3 linked regions of the Macaca fascicularis genome follow. The protein of the gene in region 1 interacts with the protein of each later gene in a pairwise test. Links are inferred from orthologs where the notes say so. Each region holds a gene or a part of one and is shown in the gene's direction. Other genes may lie near its edges.

Evidence for each region.
Region 2: the proteins of RGS20 (region 1) and PTPMT1 interact in binary tests that used the Homo sapiens proteins (3 or more experiments, as listed by UniProt). The two-hybrid records come from large-scale screens. The link is inferred for Macaca fascicularis from reciprocal best matches to the Homo sapiens genes RGS20 and PTPMT1.
Region 3: the proteins of RGS20 (region 1) and FASLG interact in binary tests that used the Homo sapiens proteins (3 or more experiments, as listed by UniProt). The two-hybrid records come from large-scale screens. The link is inferred for Macaca fascicularis from reciprocal best matches to the Homo sapiens genes RGS20 and FASLG.

Annotation. Positions count from the first base shown.
Region 1 is NC_088382.1:63,824,386-63,832,323, forward strand, and holds the start of RGS20 (regulator of G-protein signaling 20), read left to right. Parts: upstream 1-2,851; 5' UTR 2,852-2,956; coding exon 2,957-3,121; intron 3,122-7,938. UniProt on the Homo sapiens protein: Inhibits signal transduction by increasing the GTPase activity of G protein alpha subunits thereby driving them into their inactive GDP-bound form.
Region 2 is NC_088388.1:18,267,731-18,274,270, reverse strand, and holds the end of PTPMT1 (phosphatidylglycerophosphatase and protein-tyrosine phosphatase 1), read left to right. Parts: intron 1-3,330; coding exon 3,331-3,522; intron 3,523-5,722; coding exon 5,723-5,881; 3' UTR 5,882-6,064; downstream 6,065-6,540. UniProt on the Homo sapiens protein: Lipid phosphatase which dephosphorylates phosphatidylglycerophosphate (PGP) to phosphatidylglycerol (PG).
Region 3 is NC_088375.1:30,262,973-30,270,847, forward strand, and holds the start of FASLG (tumor necrosis factor ligand superfamily member 6), read left to right. Parts: upstream 1-2,540; 5' UTR 2,541-2,760; coding exon 2,761-3,105; intron 3,106-3,656; coding exon 3,657-3,702; intron 3,703-7,865; coding exon 7,866-7,875. UniProt on the Homo sapiens protein: Cytokine that binds to TNFRSF6/FAS, a receptor that transduces the apoptotic signal into cells. Involved in cytotoxic T-cell-mediated apoptosis, natural killer cell-mediated apoptosis and in T-cell development.

The DNA of each region.
Region 1 (7,938 bases):
GTTTTCTGTTCCTGCATTAGTTTGCTGAGGACAATGACTTCCAGCTCCATCCATATCCCTGCAAACGACATGATCTCACTCCTTTTTATGGCTGCATATTATTCCATGGTGTATATGTACCACATTTTCTTTATCTAGCCTATCATTGATGGGCATGTGGGTTGATTACATGTCTTTGCTATTGTGAATAGTGCTGCAATTAATATATGTGTGCATGTATCTTTGAAATAGAATGATTTATATTCCTTTGGGTATATATCCAGTAATGGGATTGCTGGGTCAGATGGTATTTCTGGTTCTAGATCTTTGAGGAATTGCCACACTGTCTTCCACAATGGTTGAACTAATTTACATTCACACTGACAGTATAAAAGCATTCCTATTTCTCCACAACCTCACCAGCATCTGTTGTTACTTGGCTTTTTAAGAAATTGCCATTCTGACTTGTGAGAGATGGTATCTCATTGTGGTTTTGATTTGCATTTCTCTCTCTTTTTTTTAATTTTTTTTTTCCTGAGACAGCATCTTGCTCTGTCACCTAGCCTGGAGTACAGTGGCGCAATCTCGGGTCACTGCAATCTCTACCTCCCTGGTTCAAACGATTCTCCTGCCTCAGTATCCTGAGTAGCTAAGACTATAGGCACATGCCACCACACCCAGCTAATTTTTGTATTTTTGGTAGAGATGATGTTTCACCATGTTAGCCAGGCTGGTCTTGAACTCCTGACCTCCTGGCCTCACCCGCCTCAGCCTCCCAAAGTGCTGGGATTACAGGCATTGAGCCACCACACCCAGCCTGATTTGCATTTCTCTAATGGTCATTGATGTCGAGCTTTTTTCGTATGTTTGTTGGCTGCACGAATGTTTTCTTTTGAAAGTGTCTGTTCGTGTCCTTTGCCCACATTTTAATGGGGTTTTTTTTTTTTTTCTTGTAACTTTGTTTAGGTTTCTTGTAGATTCTGGATATTAGCCCTTTGTCAGATGGATAGATTGCAAAAATTTTCTCCCACTCTGTGGGTTGCCTGTTCACTCTGATGATAATTTCTTTTGCTGTGCAGAAGCTCTTTCATTTAATTAGATCCCATTTGTCAATTTTTGCTTTTGTTGCAATTGCTTTTGATGATTTTGTCATGAAATCTTTGCCTGTGCCTGTGTCCTGAGTGATATTGCCTAGATATTCTTCTAGGGTTTTTATAGTTTCGGGTTTTATATTTAAGTCTTTAATCCATCTTGTGTTAATTTGTGTATAAGGTGTAAGGAAGGGGTCCAGTTTCAATATTCTGCATATGGCTAGCCAGTTTTCCCAACACCATTTATTAAATAGGAAATCCTTTCCCGGTTGCTTGTTTTTTTTCAGGTTTGTTTCAGATCAGATAGTTGTAGATGTGTGGTCTTATTTCTGAGTTCTCTATTCTGTTCCACTGATCTATGTGCCTGTTTTTGTATCAGTACCATGTTGTTTTGGTTATTGTAGCCTTGTAGTATAGTTTGAAGTCTGGTAGCATGGTGCCTCCAGCTTTGTTCTTTTTGCTTAGGATTGTCTTGGCTATACAAGTTCTTTTTTGGTTCCATATGAATTTTAAAATAGTTTTTTCTAATTCTGTGAAGGATGTTAATGGTAATTACTGTAGCTTTGTAGTAAGTTTTAAAATTGGGAAGTGTGATCCTTCAACTTTGTTCTTTTTCAAGACTGTTTTGGATATTCTGGGTCCCTTATAATTTTTTTTTTTTTTTTTTTTTTTTTTGAGACAGAGTCTCACTCTGTCACCCAGGTTGTAGTGCAGTGACACGATCTCAGCTTACTGCAACCTCTGCCTCCTGGATTCCAGCGATTCTACTGCCTCAGCCTCCTGAGTAGCTGGGATTACAGGCATATGCCACCACACCTGGCTAACTTTTTATATTTTTAGTAGAGACGGGGTTTCACCATGTTGGTCAGGCTGGTCTCGAACTCCTGACCTCGTGATTTGCCCACCTCAGCCTCCCAAAGTGCTGGGATTACAGGTGTAAGCCATCATGCCTGGCCCCTTATAATTTTATATGAATTTTAGAATCAACTGTCAACCACTGCAAAAGAAAGGAGCCGACGTATGATAGGCATTGTGTTGAATCTATAAAGCAATTTTACAAAAGGAAACTTTTCCAGTTCATCGACCCCAGTAATACACATCCCTTACCTTTGTGCACCCTCAAACCCAACAGAAGCTACTTGGGCATTAGTTGCCTCTTGATAGAAAGGTATTCTACCTTTTCCAGTCTGCTTAATAATCTTATATTTATAAAGCAGTTTATAAATATGAAGTATGGTGTTAGAAGCCAATTCTTGGCTTACTCATTGGGTACCTAGTCATCTCATAAGAAAATCAATTTAACATACTCCACATGATGTATGTAAAAAGTGTAATAATCATTGAGTTTAAGTTTGGGTATGAGTTTTGCATATGTTACTACCTACAAATATGACTGTTATTAAAATTACCTTTTAAGAAACCTGGAAAGATTAGGCCAACCATCTGCCTGTCAATTGCACAGCCCAAGATTGTCAAGTACTATTGGCTATCAAACACAACTAACACAAGAATTTTTGCCAGTCTATTTAATTTATCACTATATGCTAAGCTATATATCACTTGGATCGTTTCTTTCCGTTTTGATTTAGGATTACATTTTAATTAAGAATACATTTCTACCTTTAGAGGGCACTCATAACATACAGCACCTAGACATCCAAAATAAGCAGCTCTACCAGGAATAGAACATGAAAGATCTGTGGATAAGCTACTGATCCACAAAGCAGATAATCCTTTTGCTTTCATTAGTGTAACTTTCCGAGGAGGCTCCCCACAGACTCAGAGCCAGCCCAGCATTAACCAAACAAAGACAAACAGAGTGGATCCTGTGCTAATATTGGGAAAACCAGGCAACAGGACTCATTTGGGGCCTTTATTGTGAAAACATGCCCCAGCTTTCCCAAGATAACCAAGAGTGCCTCCAGAAACATTTCTTCAGGCCATCTATATGGACACAGTTTCTGCCCCTGTTTAGGGCTCAGAGATATAATGCAGACATTCACCAAATCACAGAAAATGAAGGAGACCCCAGGGCCATTCCTGATATCAAGGTAAGGTGATCTCCACAATCCATGATCCTTTCCTGTCAAGGGAAAGTGTTTACCAGAAAGAATATAAAACTATATGCAAGCTTTAGTGTCATTGCTCTCTTATCTTAATGTTTTTCCAAAAATGTTTTCAAACCAACCCCAAGGGAAATCTAGAACCTAGATGATAATTACCTGATCTATCTAGTTTTCTCCAATCTAAACAGATTCCCCTTACCAAAACAAATTGTTGTTTATTGTTTTTTTGTTTGTTTGTTTGTTTGTTCGTTTCAGGTGATAACATTCAACAAATCTAGACAGACTTTGTGGCTTTAAGTGTTAGCCCTTGGATGTCTTTCTCTGATATAAATATGATATCCCATATAATAATGAAAGAAAAATTGTAGACTGCTTTCTACAAAAAAAAATTCCTAGGGAAAACAATTAATAAACTAAGAACATAAGAACATTAAGGAGCTAAGGGATGTTTTTTCCAAATTAAAAGTTTCCTAAGGTGAATTTCTTAAGCTTGAGTTTCTATCAGTAGGTAATAACATTATTTCTCCAAAGAGTGACAATTTACCTGCTGGATGTTGTGTGTATCTTTGAAGAAAATACAGTTTGAGTCTGTAAATCCTCTTAGCTATTAACATTTCGTAAAAGGTTACTTGGTATAGAATATGGACATGTGTTAATGTCTAACAAGCAAGAGCACACTCAAAATTAAGTGTTGCAAAACTATAAAACTGTTCAAATACCTTAACACCAGAAAATTCACCTGTTCTTTTGCCATGGCTCATATCCTGATAATAATCATTATTTATTTGCAAACTCTTTATATAATTCTCTACGTCTGCCCTTTCTCCTAATGTTATTTTAACCATTTGGCACAAGTGGAGGGGAAAATAATAAAAATAAAAAGGGTCAAGATAAAGGTTTTTTTTGTAAATATATACGGGCCTGTTCTTTTGAGCTTTCAGACGTATGTGAACAAATAACACATGAATTCCCACACCCCCTATTATCATCTAAGCACTAAGAGTTTAGCAAGCTGCAATGAAATGGGATGTAGTGGCCAAGAGTCCTGAATTAATGGACATCTTAATGTAGGCAACACATGCAAAAGATATTTCTAAAAGACAGAATGTGGAGGCTACTTTGAGGAAACAGACATCAAAAACAACAAATATACCCATTATATGGTGCATATGTATGCTGTTGTATATGTATGTATGTATATGCACGCACACATACATATATATAATTTCAAAGTTCTAACTGTCTTGAGAAGGTATGCTCTAAGTGGAATCAAAGACAAATAAAATGCAAAAATATTTAAAAATCACTGTTACACCTTCCCATGGCATCCTGGAATCAACCACACACGCTGGTGCTGGGCAGCCTAACTTCTATCCTAACCTCACTAATCTGTTTTTTTTGTTGTTGTTTTTTTTTTTTTTTTTTTGAGACGGAGTCTTGCTCTGTCACCCAGGCTGGAGTGCAGTGGCCGGATCTCAGCTCACTGCAAGCTCCGCCTGCCGGGTTTACGCCATTCTCCTGCCTCAGCCTCCCGAGTAGCTGGGACTACAGGCGCCCGCCACCTCGCCCGGCTATTTTTTTTTGTATTTTTTAGTAGAGACGGGGTTTCACCGTGTTAGCCGGGATCGTCTCTCGATCTCCTGACCTCGTGATCCGCCCATCTCGGCCTCCCAAAGTGCTGGCATTACAGGCTTGAGCCACCGCGCCCGGCCCCCTCACTAATCTGTTAACGGGTTCCAGTCTGTACAGCAACAGGTGAGGGTAGAAGGAAGCAATCCGGTTGGGATGCTACTGGCTCCTTCATTCAGTTTTTGCCTTTTGAAAAAAAATCTTTTTATATTGCATCTGAATACAGAAAGAGGAGACGTGCCTCTTTTAGCAAATGTAAGGATGGAAACACCGAACTCATTTTGAGTCTGCTGTTATCATTGAATCCTTACTAACTGCAAAACCTTGGGCTAGGAGCCATAGGGAATAAAGAGAAAGAGCAAGATAAGCTCCCTCCTTTCTAGAGACTTACTGTATACTGAGAAAGACAAACATATAGCATATTATCAGCATGACTCATGTCAATAATATAAGGTACCTATGTAATTATTGTACATTTTTTCAATGAGTAAGATATTAGGGGAGGAATATGATCACTCTGGGGTAAGACAATTGAAGAAGCCCAGTGTTAGAGTGAAAGCAGTGAAATCTAAGGTAGACGTGAAATAATGTCTAAGAACATACATATAGAGGCAGAAAGAGGGAACGTGGGCTAAAATGTATCTAGACATCAAGGGGTCAGTCAGAAATTCTCCAAAAATCCTCAACCTAAGCTTTACAGTTCCTGCAAAAATTACCCCCAAATAGATCATGGGCTTAAATGTACAACTACATGTAAAACTATAGAACTTTTAGGAAAAAAATGGGAGAAAATCGTTATGAGCTAGGGCTAGGTGAAGAGTACACAGACACCAAAAAATCATGATCCATGCAAGAAAAATTATCAATAAATAAGACTTCATTAGAATCTAAAAAACTTTTGCGCTGTCAAAGACTCTATTGAGAGGATAAAAGACAGCATACAGACAGCAGGAAAATACTTTCACCCCCATGTCTGCCAAACACCTTGAACTGAGAATAAAGAATTCTCAAAACTCAAGAGTAAAAGACAAACAGTCCAACAAGAATATGGGCAAAAGGCATGAACAGGCATTTTACTGAAGAGAATATGCAGATGGCAAATAAATATATGAAAAGACAGTCAACATTGTTAGCCATTAGGGAGATGCAAATTAAAGTCACAGTGAAATATCACTACACACCCAGCAGAATGGGTAAAATGGAGAAAAAATAGTGGCTATAAAAATGGCTAGAATGGCTAAAATGACTAAAATTATGATAACACCAACTGCTGGAAAGGATACAGAGAAACTGAATCATTCATGCATTGCTGATAGGAATGTAAAATAGTACAAGCAATCTGGAAAACAATTTGGCAGTTTCTCATAAAATTGAAGATACAGCTACCATATGGTCTAGCAATTTCACTATTAGGCATTTATCCCAGAGAAATGAAAACCTACATTTACACCAACCCTGTATGCCAATGTCCACAGCTGCTTTATTTGTAATAGTCAAAAACCAGAAACAACCCAAAAGCCCTTCAAGGGATGAATGATTAAACAAACAGTGGTACATCCATACCGTGGAATCCCATGGAGCCACTAAAAGGAATGAACTACTGATACACAACACACTTGGGTAGACTTCAGGGACTGATGCTGAGCGGGGGAGAAAAAGCCAATTCCAAAAAGTCACACACTACATATATGTGTATGATTCTATATAAGCCACTCTTTTTTTTTCTTTGAGATGGAATATTGCTCTGTCGCCCAGGCTGTAGTGCAGTGGGGTGATCTCGGCTCACTATAACCTCAGCTCACTATAACCTCTGCCTGCTGGGTTCAAGCGATTCTCTCACCTCTGCCTCCCGAGCAGCTAGGACTACAGGCATGCGCCGCCACACCCAGCTAATTTTTGTATTTTTAGTAGAGACAGGGTTTCACCATGTTGGCCAGGCTGGTCTTGAACTCCTGACCTCAAGTGATCTGCCCACCTCAGCCTTCCAAAGTGCTGGGGCTACAGATGTGAGTCACTGTGCCCAACCAATATAAGCCACTCTTGAAATAAAGTGATAGACATAGAGAACAGATTCATGGTTGCCAAAGATTAGGGATTAGGTAGGGTGGTGGGTATAGCTACAAAGGGGTCACACTTTAAAGGGAGCCTGGTGGTGATGAACCAGTTCTGTGTCTTGACTGCAGCGGCAGTTATGCACATTACACATGTAATGTGCTAAAGTTGCATGAAACTATACACGTGCACACACAGAAATGAGTGAAATCTGAATAAGCTCTGTGAATGGTACCCTTTTCATTTCCTAGTTTTGATGTTCTTTAGTTAATGCAGTCTCCATTGAGGGAAAGTGGGTGACCAGTACACGGGACCACTCTGTACATTCTGTGTACGTGATTTCCTATGACTATAGCATTATTTCAAAATAAGCAATCTTAAAAAGCAAACCTCTAAAGGCAGGTTAAACTGACAATATGACATACAAATCGCCTACATTTATTGTGGTTATTCCAGTTGTTCTTTCCATTTGGCTCCTTGGGTTAATAGCTTTGATGTGGTCTGACCTGTTTTAGAGATGAGAAAACAAGTTTGATTGGTTGCATATGTGAAGTCAGCTGAGAGGTGATTTGAACCTGGATTTTCTGATGCTGATTTCAATAAGTATTTGATAGCTTCTGACAGGGATTTAAAAAGTGGACTGTAGTTTCCTTGGCTTGAAGCCAGTCTTCTTCTTTTTTTTTTTTTTTTTTTTTTTTTTTTTTTTTTTTGAGGCGGAGTCTTCACTCTGTCGCCCAGGCTGGAGTGCAGTGGCACCATCTCGGCTCACTGCAAGCTCCGCCTCCCGGGTTCGCGCCATTCTCCTGCCTCAGCCTCCGGAGTAGCTGGGACTACAGGCGCCCGCCACCGCGCCCGGCTAATTTTTTTTGTATTTTAGTAGAGACGGGGTTTCACCGTGTTAGCCAGGATGGTCTCGATCTACTGACCTCGTGATCCGCCCGCCTCGGCCTCCTAAAGTGCAGGGATTACAGGCGTGAGCCACCGCGCCCGGCCAAAGCCAGTCTTCTTAATAGTACTTTCTGTATGGTTTCTGCCCAAAATACTCCAACACAGACCACTAATTTACTACAAAATCCCATACACCTGCATATACACTCACACACTTGTCTTCATCGGATTAT
Region 2 (6,540 bases), on another chromosome or scaffold:
TTGCAGTGAGCCGACATCTTGCATTCCAGCCCAGCCTTGGGCGACAGGAGTGAAACAGTCTCAAAAAAAAAAAAAGAAAAAAAAAGTGCAAGTTGACAAAGTCTGATTTCTCCTTTGTGAACGAATGTAATGTATTCTTATTTCAGTAAACAAAATCAGAAACTAAAATTGAAAGGCAACTTTCCTGTGCCTTCCTGATTTCATTCATTCTTTCTGCACTTTGAGCTCTGAGTATGGGTCAGCATTCCCAGTGTTAACGATTCCAGATGAAGGCCCTGCCAACTATAAGAAGAAAAGCACCCCCTTAATACGTCCCCCTCCCCACATTTTTCATAAACTGTAGAGTTAATTTGGCTCTGATTTGGGGGAATTTTTAGTCATATGTTAGAAATCATGGTGGAACTACAAAGTTCTTTCATAACGAAGTTTAGGCCTAAAGCATAACTTTCATTAAATGTGACTGGCTTGTTTGTGGAATCTTCCACAATGGTTATTAGAAGATGTTATCTGGTCGGGCGCGATGGCTCAAGACTGTAATCCCAGCACTTTGGGAACCTGAGACGGGCGGATCACGAAGTCAGGAGATCGAGACCATCCTGGCTAACACGGTGAAACCCTGTCTCTACTAAAAAAATACAAAAAACTAGCCGGGCGAGGTGGCGGGCGCCTGTAGTCCCAGCTACTCGGGAGGCTGAGGCAGGAGAATGGCATAAACCCGGGTGGCGGAACTTGCAGTGAGCCGAGATCCGGCTACTGCACTCCAGCCTGGGCGACAGAGCGAGACTCCATCCCCCCCCCCGAAAAAAAAGAAGATGTTATCTACAATGTGATTAAAAATGTTGCCCTATCTTTATAGTGTTTGGCATCTAATAGCACTAAACAATTATCTTTCTCCTTTGTTTTACTGATATAGCATGATGAAGATACTATTATTTCAACCTGAGGATTTTTTGAAACCTTAAAAATATTTGTGACTTGGCTGGAAATATTTGTGACTTGGCTAGGCGTGGTAGCTCTGACGCCTGTAATCCCAGCACTTTGGGAGGCTGAGGTGGGTAGATCATGTGAGGTCAGGAGTTTGAGATCAGTCTGGCCAAAATGGTGAAACCCTGTCTCTACTAAAAAATACAAAAAACTAGCCCGGCGAGGTGGCGGGCACCTGTAGTCCCAGCTACTGGGGAGGCTGAGGCAGGAGAATGGCGTGAACCCGGGAGGCGGAGCTTGCAGTGAGCTGAGATCCGGCCACTGCACTCCAGCCTGGGCGACAGAGGGAGACTCCGTCTCAAAAAAAAAAAAAAAAAAAAAAAGCTGACCTTCATTCAGAACCATACAGTCTCCGATACTCATTATTAAGAGGTTAATAATAAGAGTAGCTGGAGGATATCTGAAGTCTTAAAGCATAAAGTTTGCCCAGTTGCCAAAGACCTTATTTCTCTTATTTCTTCTTTTTTTTTTTTTTTTTTGAGACAGAGTCTCACATCTCACTCCATTGTCCAGGCTAGAGTGCAATGGTGCAATCTCAGCTCACTGCAACGTCTGCCTCCCGGTTCAAGTGATTCTCCTGCCTCAGCCTCCCAAGTAGCTGGAATTACAGGTGCCCGCCACCATGCCTGGCTAATTTTTGTATTTTTTGTGGAGATAGGGTTTCGCCATGTTGGCCAGAGTCATCTCGAACTCCTGACCTCAGGCTATTCACCCACCTTGGCCTCTCAAAATCTGGGATTACAGGTGTGAGCCACCGCACCTGGCCACCTATTTCTTCTTTGTAAGTGATGACATTGCACTAATGAAGGTCAGTGCATTGTTTTAATTTAATTTTTTTTTGTTTTTTTTGTTTTCCAGACGGAGTCTTGCGCCTGGCCCATTCTTTTAATTTTAAAATGATAACCCTATTTTCTACCATGTGCTTCCTCAAAAAAAAGTGGTAAAAAAAGAGGAGACTTATGGACAGAGAAATAGAAAGCCCTGGCAAAATATTGTACCCCAAATCTGCAGCTGAATCACTACACAGGTGCCAAAATTATACAAAAAAAAGTTACACTGGCTGGGCCTGGTGGCTCATGCCTGTAATCCCAACACTTTGGGAGGCCGAGACAGGAGGATGGCTTGAGGATAGGAGATTGAGACCAGCCTGGGCAACATAGCGAGACCCCCATCTCCACACACAAAAATAACAAAATTAGCGAGGCACAGTGGCGTGCAGCTGTAGTCACAGCTTCTCAGGAGGCAGAGGTGGGAGGACTGCTTGAGCTTAGGAGTTTGAAGCTGCAGGGAGCCATGATTGCACACCACTGCTCTCTGACCTGAGCGACATAGCAAGATCGTGTCTCTAAAATAAAATATGTATATTTTTTGAGATGTTGTTTTTCTCTTGTCACCCAGGCTGGAATACAATGGTGTGATCTCTGCTCACTGCAACCTCTCTCTCCTGGGTTAAACAATTCTCCTGCCTCAGCCTCCCTAGTAGGTGGGATTACAGGCGTCCGCCACCAGGCCTGGCTAATTTTTGTATTTTTATTAGAGACAGGGTTTCACCATGTTAGCCAGGCTGGTCTCGAACTCCTGACCTTAGGTGATCTGCCCACCTCAGCCTTACAAATCGTTGGGATTACAGGCGTGAGCCACTATGCCCGGCCGAAATAAAATGTTAAGATGTTTGCAGCTGAATTTTTTGCAGCTAAAATATATATAGCTAATATTTTGCAGCTAAATATTCAAGTACACAAAGGGTAGTTTAAGAACACTTTACCTGCTGGTGTGGTGGCTCACACCTGTAATCCCAGCACTTTGGGAGGCTGAGGCGGGCAGATGACCTGAGGTTAGGAGTTTGAGACTATCCTGGCCAACATGATGAAATCCCGTCTCTACTAAAAATACAATTAGCCAGGCTTGGTGGCGCGTGCCTGTGGGCCCAGCTACTCAGGAGGCTGAGGCAGGAGAATCGCTTGAACCTGGGAGGTGGAGGTTGCAGTGAGCTGAGATCACACCACTGCACTCCAGCCTGGGCAACAGAGCGAGACTCTGTCTTAATAAAAGAAAAGGAACACTTTAAATCTTGGACATAATTCTAACTCAGCAGCATAGCTGCTGTTTGATGAAAAACCAACTATGTAGGCCAGCCATTTTAAAGACATTTCTGTCCTCACCCGGAATGGGAAAAAAAAGCATTTCTGTAAGGAGTTTCTATTTTAGAAAACAGGAAACAGTGTATTCCCATTGTAGTAAACCCTGAAACTTCCCTGTTGCTTTGCTGCCTCTTAGGAGCCCCTTATCATCCCACCCACATCAGGTTTTTTTCATTCTTTTTCATACTGGTGGACCTGGTTCCAGGAGTGGAAGAGACTAGGAGTCGAGCAGCTGCGGCTCAGCACAGTAGACATGACTGGGATCCCTACCTTGGACAACCTCCAGAAGGGAGTCCAATTTGCTCTCAAGTACCAGTCGCTGGGCCAGTGTGTCTACGTGCATTGTAAGGCTGGGCGCTCCAGGAGTGCCACTATGGTGGCAGCATACCTGATTCAGGTACAAAAGTTCTTTCTGGGCTGGGCATCGTGGTACATGCTTACAATCCTAGCATTTTGGGAGGCTTGAAGTGGGAGGATGGCTTGAGCCCAGGAGTTTGAGACCAGACTGGGCAACATGGCAAAGCCGTCTCTACAAAAAATACAAAAGGTTAGCTCGGTTTGGTGGTGTGCACCTGTAGTCCCAGCTACTTGGGAGGCTGAGATGGAAGGATCACCTGAGCCCGGTAGGTAGAGGCTGCAGTGAGCCATGATTTGTGCCACTGCACTGCAGCATGGCCGACACAGTGAAACCCTCTCTCAAAAAAAAAAAAAAAAAAAATCTTTCTGGTCCCATTTATAGCAGATTTCCAGAACTTCAATAGCATGGTCTACTGGTGGGCCTTGTTGGAAGGAGCTGTGTGCTTGATTTCAGGCTGTTGGGAGGTGGTGTGGTATGATGGAAAGCACCTGAGCCTTGTGACAGGCTAACCTGGGGCTCTGCCGCCTGCCAGTGAGGATCAGCAAAAGTGACTGATACCTAATGCTGTTTTCTCAAACTAAATGTATCATGAAGTTTAAATAAGAAATTACATCAAGTGCTGGCTACAGCGGGCACTCTAAAAATGGAGTTGCAAAAGATATTCAACCCCAGCAAAAGGCTAGACACTTGTTCTAATACCATGTCAGGGAACAATACTGTAGATAATAGTGATGATCATTTTCAGCTTTATAGTACTCAAGTTTCTTCAAGTATTCCAGAGTCAAGTTCTGGATATTAGTTTCTGGAAACAGGCTCCAAACTAGATTCTGCCTGTTAATTTGTCATGATTGGCAGGTGGGATGCTTTAAAAATATTTAGGAGAAACAAATACCCTGTAGTCCATCATCATTTTGTAACCTGAGTTACAAAATGGCTCCCACAGAGCATTTTCTAAGTCATGTGAATAGCTAAGTTTGGCCTTGTGTTACTGTGGACTGGTGTGTATGTATGTAGTTGAACGATACTAAAATTTCGGTCATAAGGACTCTGCTGGACTCAGGGTCTCAGGAGGGTATTTTGTACCCAGTGAGAATTGAATTAGCAAGCTAGAAATCTGTATTTTCTTGGTTCTGTTCAGTTCTAAACCAATGAGTATCCTTAGGACATGTTAACCCTCCTATTTAAATTATGAGTACTTGTTTTTCTAGCCATGGTGACAAGTTGCATAAAAACATCTACTGCAGGCCGGGCGCGGTGGCTCACGCCTGTAATCCTAGCACTTTGGGAGGCAGAGGCGGGCGGATCACGAGGTCAGGAGATTGAGCCTGGCTAACACGGTGAAACCTCGTCTCTACTAAAAATACTAAAAATTAGCTGGGCGTGGTGGCGGGCACCTGTAGTCCCAGCTACTCGGGAGGCTGAGGTAGGAGAATGGCGTGAACCCGGGAGGCGGAGCTTGCAGTGAGCTGAGATCGCCACTGCACTCCAGCCTGGGTGACACAGCGAGGCACTGTCTCAATAAAAAACAAACAAACAAAACATCTATTGCATACGTGTTCCTAGAAGTTCTTTTAACCAAAAGCCCAGCTCGGAGAGAATGTGGAGTAGGCTGAGGCAGTCTTGAACTTAGGACCTCAGCTTCTCATGTGCAACTTTCTTTTTCTAGGATTTGGCAGAGCAAGAATTGGGTAGAAAGACTGACTTTCCACCTGGCCTGTTGCATAGTATTGTGAGACTGGCTGACTGCAGTGGTTACAGTACTCTCCCATTTATAATACAAGAAGCATGATTTTTAATGCCTCCAAAATGGAGTTTCCAAAGAAATGAAACTCTCGAAGTCCTTTAGCACCTGCTCATGTGTCAAGGGCACGTTGACACCTGCTTTTTTTTTTTTTTTTTTTTTTTTTTGAGACGGAGTCTCGCTCTGTCACCCAGGCTGGAGTGCAGTGGCCGGATCTCAGCTCACTGCAAGCTACGCCTCCCAGGTTTACGCCATTCTCCTGCCTCAGCCTCCCGAGTAGCTGGGACTACAGGCGCCCACTACCTCGCCCGGCTAGTTTTTGTATTTTTTAGTAGAGATGGGGTTTCACCGTATTAGCCAGGATGGTCTCGATCTCCTGACCTCGTAATCCGCCCATCTCGGCCTCCCAAAGTGCTGGGATTACAGGCTTGAGCCACCGCGCCCGGCCTGACACCTGCTTCTTTCTTTCTCTGCTGATTTCTCAACCCTGTACTTCAGGTGCACAGATGGAGTCCAGAGGAGGCTGTAAGAGCCATCGCCAAGATCCGGTCTTACATCCACATCAGGCCTGGCCAGCTGGATGTTCTTAAAGAGTTCCACAAGCAGGTTACTGCAGGGGCAGCAAAGGATGGGACTTTTGACACTTCAAAGACATGATGTATGTGGATTAGAAAGAACTCAAGACATTCCTGCTTGATACAGAATAAAAAAAGCTTAACGGGACCCACAGGGCTTAAGCCCAGACTTGACATAACCAAAATGTGCCAATAGGTAATAGGTAATTTTGCTTTCTCTGTCTTGTTTCATTTTCTTGAAATAACACTGTTGTGTGGCTAGAAAGGAAAAGATTTAGTGTGGCTTGTATTCATGGGATACAGGACAGGGATGGGGCCATCTTCTTTTCTTGAATAGAGCTAAAGAAGTATTTTAACAAAAATCTATTATTATGTACCTAATATTGTGCCTAATAATATTTAGCACCACAACTCAAAAGACTTAGCACTAGAAAAAAGGAAACTCAGCTCTGGGTCTTTGCCACTGTCAGAATCTGAGTGTCACTGGCCCTGTGGAGTAGGGATCCTGTCTGGAGAAGTGGGAGCATGGGCGCAGTCAGGACTGCTGCAGACTGAGCCATGTGATGGTACGTAAGGAGTCCCCCTGAGGGAATGAAACACTCTCGCCCCTTCAAAGTCACCCCTTCGGAATTCAACACAGACACACATATCCCTTCAAAAACTTTTATTTGTATCAACACTTCCTAGCTCTTGACTTAGCTTAGAGCTTTTAAAAGAGCAGACACCTTACATATTTGAGTT
Region 3 (7,875 bases), on another chromosome or scaffold:
GCATGTGCTTGTAGTCCCAGCTACTCGGGAGACTGAGGCAGGAGAATCACTTGAACCTGGGAGGCGGATGTTGTAGTGAGCCAAGATCATGCCACTGCACGCCAGCCTGGGGACAGAGTGGCACTCAGTCTCAAAAAAATAAAAAACAAAATATGGCTCTGTACAATTTTTGTTACAGTTATTTTGGGATTTTCAAATAGTATTTTTGTTGTATATATGATAGAATTCTTAAAATTACAATTTCTGATTATTACTAAGTTTAAAGTTAGTTGAATTCATAATGATGAATAAAGCCACATGTGAGTTAAGTCTCATCCCTTGCACTGTTTAAGAGTGGAGAGTGGGATGTGAGCAGGAGTGCCTGATAAGGAGGCAGTGGGAGCTGATGCTAAAGAGCCTTGGGTAATGGTAAGGAGCTTGCATTATTCTTGGAATCAAACCTTCCAACACAAGGAAGGGAAGTGAGATCATTAGGTTTGTTTTTAAAAAACATCTTTCTTGTAGCATTTTACTGAGTGATTTGGGCTTGGGAAAGGTCAGTGGCAGGGCACCTGTTAGGTCATTATTGCAGTATTTCAGGTGAGAGATAAAAAGTCTGAGCCCAGGCAATAGCAGTAAGAAAAATGGGAGTGGTAAGGATGGGGGAGGGGAGCAGTAAACCGAGGGGAGGGTAAGGAACAGGTCTCAGGTAAAAGCAACAGTCCTGGGTGACCAGTTAAACATTGGGGGAGAGGAAAAGAAAGGAGATGAAGTTGCCGCCAGAAAGAGTGGCCTCAGGAGAAACAGATTGTACGGGGATGGGGATGGGGTGGGATGGGCAGAATATATCAGGGAAAGAGTATCCTTGGTGTTGGTTTGGTACAGGTGAGTGGGCCTGAATGACAGTCACGGAAATCCCAAAACATGATATAAAAACTAATGAAATTTGAAAGGTAATAAACATGAAAAAAATGAAAAATTTGGATTTATGGGGGATTTATTTGGCTTCTATTGGGGAATGATTAAGACTGAAGCTAACTACTTGGAAGTTATTGGCATAAAAATGGTATGTGAGGCCAAAGGAAAGGGTGAGGTGAGCCCAAGTAGAGAGGCCAACTTTAAACAACAACAGAAAAACAAAGAAATAGGACACAGAGTTAAATTTGAATGTCAGTTATATGATGAATAATTGTTTAGTGTATTCCATGTTTGGACGTGTTTAAGACATACTCGTCCTAAAAATTATGTATTATTTATCTGAAATTCAAATTTAACTGGGCACCATGTATTTAATCTGGCAACCATAACAGGGACAGGACACAGAAATATCGGCAAGGACCAGGCAGGCCTTTCAGATGGTGAGGTGATGTGTGAGACACAGGCCGCTGGCGGAGGCTGGGTGACCCAGAACACCTGTCGCTCATTCTCAGGAGCAGCTGCTACCTACTTCCCACTGATTGGGTTTGCAGAGATGGCCTCGAGGGTGTCTGATATTCTGATATTGCAAAACAGAACAAAAATATGTATTTTAATGTGTATTTAAAATGTATATATATTAAAATATTTTTAATATTGATATTAAAAGTGGTCAATTGGGCTGAGTGCAGTGGCTCATGACTGTAATTCCAGCACTTTGGGAAACTGAGGTGGGAGGATGTCTTGAAGCTAGGAGTTTGAGACAAGCCTGGGCAACATAGCGAGTCCCCATCTCTACAAAAATAAATAAATAAATAAATTAGTCAGGTGTAGTGACTCATGCCTATAATCCCAGCTACTTAGGAGGCCAAGGCAAGAGGATTGCTTGAGCCCAGGAGTTTGAGGCTGCAGTTAACTATGATAGCACCACTCCACTCCAGCTTGGGTGACAGAGTGAGACTCTGTCTCTATTTAAATAAATACGTAAATAAATAAGCTGGGCAAACAATGAAAATGAAAACATTGTGAAATACAAAGCAGTTCTGTGGGTTCCACTGTTTGCAGCCTCTGATCTAATTTCTAAAGAGGGTGTAGCAGGTTTTTTAACCTGTAAATTATGGTGATTGGCAGGTCAGGGTAAATGGTAGTTGTGTGTGGGGAAGCGATGATGGCAACAGGTGTTTTCCTCCTGCAAAAACTAAAATGTGGGAGTGACTTCTCTGGCCATGGCTCCATGGTCTCTCCCCTCAGAGCCAATTTCAGTAAAATTTTTATAGTTTAAAAAATATGGTTCTGAACAATTTTTGTTAGAGGTATTTTGGTATTTTTAAATAGTTTTTTGGTCGTATACATGGTAGAATTCTTAACATTATACAATTATAATGTATAAAAAAGGATACAATTATAATTCATAAAATTATAGCCCCACTGGCCATTCTCCTGTAGCTGGGAGCAGTTCACGCCAACAGGGCTCTACCCCAATGCTGACCTGCTCTACAGGATCCCAGGAAGGTGAGCATAGCCTACCAACCTGTTTGGGTAGTACAGCGATAGCAACTGAGGCTTCCAAGGCTTTCGTCAGAAGATTGTGGGCGGAAACTTCCAGGGGTTTGCTCTGAGCTTCTTGAGGCTTCTCAGCTTCAGCTGCAAAGTGAGTGGGTGTTTCTTTGAGAAGCAGAATCAGAGAGAGACATAGAGAAAGAGAAAGACAGAGGTGTTTCCCTTAGCTATGGAAACTCTATAAGAGAGATCCAGCTTGCCTCCTCTTGAGCAGTCAGCAACAGGAGTCCTGTCCTTGACACCTCAGCCTCTACAGGATTGAGAAGTAAAACCGTTTGCTGGGGCTGGCCTGACTCACCGGCTGCCATGCAGCAGCCCTTCAATTACCCATATCCCCAGATCTACTGGGTGGACAGCAGTGCCAGCTCTCCCTGGGCCCCTCCAGGCACAGTTCTTCCCTGTCCAACCTCTGTGCCCAGAAGGCCTGGTCAAAGGAGGCCACCACCACCGCCGCCACCGCCGCCACTACCACCTCCACCGCCATCACCACTGCCTCCACTACCGCTGCCACCCTTGAAGAAGAGGGGAAACCACAGCACAGGCCTTTGTCTCCTTGTGATGTTTTTCATGGTTCTGGTTGCCTTGGTAGGATTGGGACTGGGGATGTTTCAGCTCTTCCACTTACAGAAAGAGCTGGCAGAACTCCGAGAGGTAAGCCTGCTGGCAGACTGCTGTGCCCTGGAGGCACCAGGCATAAGGGGGTGGAGGGCCCACTGCCTGGCTTGCAAAGTGCTTTTCAATCCTTTTTTTTTTTTCTTAGAAATGGGTTGTTCTAGTTATTCTATTCTATAGGCAGAGAAATGGAGGCTCATAGGAGTGAAGGGAATATTTTTTATTTTGTAAAGAATCAGAGCCCAACAGTTTTTCTTTCCTCAGTTGTCAACTCAGTCTGTTGAACCACTTACTGCCTCATACCTAGTGATTTAAGGAGTAAAAAACAAACAAAACTTTTAAGTTTTGCTTGGAAGTAAATTTGTTCAGATGACCAAACTAAATCTTGAAAATACTTAAAATACTGGTACGATTTCAAATCACAAAACTGAGGGACAGTGAAGCAAAATTGCTTGACCAAAGCCTGAGTCAGCAAAAGTTCTGAGGTATTTGGATTCTCTTTCCAGGGCTTGGTTTATTTGACGATTCTGTCTCTTTTGCTTAAATAATTTTATTTTTATTATGCATCTTTTTTCTTTCTCTTTTACTAGTCTACCAGCCAGAAGCATACAGCATCATCTTTGGAGAAGCAAATAGGTGAGTCCTTTTTCACATGTACATTGAGTTCCTAAAGGTGATCCTCAGCACTGAAATATGTTAATGGAATGCCTTATATTCTGTCCTACACTTTGGCTTATGTATACTATGAGAGGAATCCTGGCTAATTCGGAATCTCTGGTCAGTATGATTCCTTGAGCTGCTTTAAAAATGTGAAGTGAATTGAATTGCTCACAATCAATATAGCTGAGCACGGCACACAATTCAAAATCACTTCCGCTTGACTTTGGAAAGAGACACACATATACAACCGTGGACTTTTGCCCCCTGAGCAGTGGTTCCAGGCCTGTCCCCTTCCACAGACACCCTGGTCCTGGCACACATGCCAGTGGCTATGACTTCTGGGAAGAGAAGGCGAAGTGAAGGCAGAGACAGATGTTTCTGAGAAACGTCCTCTCCTCTTTTAAAGCCTCTAAAGAGATCACAGTGAAACTTTATTTATAAAATGTTTTATAGGATGTAAGCTTTTAAAATGTGGCTAATCAATTCCGTACATTAGAATGGTTTTTCTTGAAGTCACTGAGAAGCTGAAGGGAAGACTTCAGCCATCATTCAAAGGATGTTCAGCTTCAGAGGCAGTCATGAGGTACCCTTGATCACAAAGGAAAATCCTTTGTATGGGAGCTAGGGCAAGAAGACGATATGTTGGAACACTGATCTCGTGAAATTTCAGGGCATAGTTTTGCAAGCTCTGTACAGATGGATTTTACAATGTGCTTCACTAGCCTAAGATTCATTGAAATTTTAGATTTAGATTTACAATGAGATTCACTGAAGGTTTAGAGTTGGAAGGAAGCTTAGAATATCTAGTCCAGCCATTTCATTTTTTTGGAAGAGAAACAAAATGCCAGACAGATTAGGTGAATATGCCCAAGACCCCTAGTATGGAACTGGGGCTAGAAGGAACACAGGCTCTTGATGCCTTGTCACCTACAGGGCTTTCCGGTACTGGACTGGTGCCTCATGAAGTAGGGAAACTCCTGTCTCTCTGTAGTGAGCATGGAGTGAGAAATAGAGGAAAAGCAGGATACCTCTGCAAAGACTATAGATAGATCGCATCCTTAGAAACTCAGAATAAAGAAGAAGGCAGCACTGGCCATCTATTAAGTGAAGTAAGTTTCAGTTTCTCTGGATGTGGCTACTGCAGGCAACCCAGTCGCCTGTCTACTGTCCTAGACTGTTAAGTTCTTATAGGAGCCACTGTTGGGAAGCTCTGGCCCCTGAGTCTGTGTCCTAATCCTTAAATGTTAGAAAGTCCATATGTACACAAGCAGAGTGGAAATATTTGCTAGAAAAATAAAGCCTCTGGAGGATGTCTCAAATAAGATCATTTTGAAAACCTGTGGAATGTGCCTGGTCTGATAGGTACCTAAGCATTCATCTTTTACCTCCTCTCTGGAGTCAATTTAGTGATTAAAAATCAAATGACCAGACGAGTCATGTCCATCTACCCCAGTAAGCAATTATCTTCTCTAGATCAACCCAGATGAACCAGAAATTGTTAAATTATCACAAGGAAATCAAATCAGTAACTTTACTAATAAGAAAAGAGATGCAAACTAAAAATAGGGAACACCAATTTTCATCAAATTAGTAAAGTTAACAAAAACCCAGACTGACAAAGATTTGAAAGAAAAGTGCTGTTTAAACATTAGTTTCAGCCAGTATACATGTAAATTGCTATAACTTTTTCTGAAGAGCACTTTAGAAATACATATCAAAAGCTTGAAACTAATAGTTTATGTTGTAATCCTATCACTAAGAATTTCTCTTAAGAAAATAATCAGATGTGCCTGAAGATTTATATATAAGGATGTTCATTACTCCCTTATGAGCCTATTTATAATAAACAATCCAGAAGAAACTTGAATGCCTCATACTAGATTAGTTATATACATTATGGTGTATTGAAACAAGCACATAATAAGCAGCAACTAAAAATGGTGTATCAGAAGGACATTTAATGCCTTGGGGATTGTGCAGTGTGTATTGTTAGATAAAAAGACAAGTTACAAAAGGATATATTTCGTTTCATACTGACTATGTAACCATGTATGCACGTTTTTATATTCTTAGGAACTAGAAGGTTCTACACACTGACATACTAACAGTGATTTTCTCTGGGAGATACTACTATAGATTATTTATACTTTCTAACTTGTTCCTTTTTACATTTTCCATTTTTTTCCAGTTAGCTAATTAAATCTTTTATTCATTCACATGCGTGAGGCTAGATGTTGGGTGTTGGACGCTGATCGAGGATGAGCCAGCCCAGGGGACCTGTCCTTATAGAGCTTTTAGCATGGTGAAGAAGCTAAACAAAAGCAAGCAAACAGACCATACAATTCCAAAGTTGTACTAAGTATAAGCTGAGAATCCTTTTTAAGGAGGTGTTTATGCTGACACCTGGGGGGTCAGAAGCCTGATGAGCGAAGGGCTGTGTGCATGTGCTGTGGAGTGGGGTGGGGCTGGGGGAGAGCATTTCAACACTGGGAACGGCACATGCAAAAACCCTGGGGCAGGAAGCACTCATCACCAGTGTCTAAGGTATCTCTGCAGTTTATTTATTCCAGCCTATGTACAGCAGATATTCTTAGTGAGCATGTTCTGTAAAAATAATGTTGTACTAGGCTCTGTGAGGGATAAAAAGATAGGCAACATGTGGTTCTTGGTTCTGTTTCCTGCCGGTGCATGGCTGAATGCCAGATGAGTCGCTCGGGTGGTTTGCGGTGTAGGAATGCAGAAGAGACTCAGTTTTGCCTTTCCTGTTCACTAACACCTCCTTCATGGTGGGTTGTCTTGGGTGACCAGAGAGGTCATGATCGCTCAGGTAATGTTCTCTGTGAATTGGGCCATTCTCACACCATACGTGAGTTTTACAGGCTAATCACGAACCTGACATATTCAAGCATCTCGTGTGAATATTTATTGAGGTCTCAGTTAGCTGAATGCGTTAGCTAAGTGGCAGCTGTCTATCTTGTCTGAAATAGTTGAAGTCAGAGAAATAGTGTCTGTTTTGAGAACTACTGTCTATTCTTCCATTTAATTTATCTGACATTTGCTAGTAACATGCCCTGTGTTAGGAACTGGGCTTCTCTGGTGAATTCAACATATCGTAAGGAACTTGTCATTATTTGAGCGGAATAAGATAATTTATGTAGTTACCCCAGAGAAGAGGAGTCAGAAATGACAAGAGAGGGGAAGACAGAATGATCCTAGATTTCAAAAGAGGGGAAGATCATATTTGATCAAAAAAGGTTTGAGAGGGTTTCCCAAAGAAAGAGGTATAGTCCTTATGGGATGTTTAGGAATTTGACACAGAAATCTGTTTGAAAGAACATTATGGGCAAAAGGCATGGCATGAACAAAGGCACAGAGGAAGGGAAGTGGGGGTACGTGTAGGCCACAGAACTCCCGTTGTGTGGCAGTGCTCAGTGGGAGTAAGGAGATAAGGCTGGACAGATGGGCTGGGATTGTGTGATGGGGAGACTTGTATACAACTGCATCTTCAGGAAGGAGCCATTAAAGGTGTTTGAGGCCTCAGTGATATGAGGTAATTGTCTGAGGACTTAAGATACTTAATTTGGGGAAGATTGTAAAATGTCCCTGGGGGAAGATCTGGTGACACGCAGATAGATTAGTGGTCTTCTTCAGTCTCTTTCCTGTAAGTCTTAGGGACGAGAGAATCAGAGTGGACAGAGCCCTGGAATTGGAGTCAGGAGACCAGGGTGTGGTCCCATCTCTGATGCTGACTAGTTGGATTAGTCACCCAACTTCTAAGCTCATTTTGCAATTGATAAGGGGTGGGACAATACATACCTCAAAGGGTTGTGGTGAGTTCTAAATGCAATAACTGACATGACAGCTCATTATGAATAAACGTTTATATTAATTATATTTTATTGTAACATTATAATTTATGCATGTGTCCATCTTAATTTGGTTTATTTTTTACCTCTTTGTTTCTGAAATATAGACCACGGTGAATCCCGCAGTTCAGACTTACATGATTAGTATATGTTAGACTGTTGCCATTTATGGTTTTAAAATCTTTTTTTTTTAAATGATGGGATTTAAATTCCCACCAAAATAATAGTTGGTATTTCATTTTAACATATATTTTTCCTCTCTCTATGATACAGGTCACCCCAG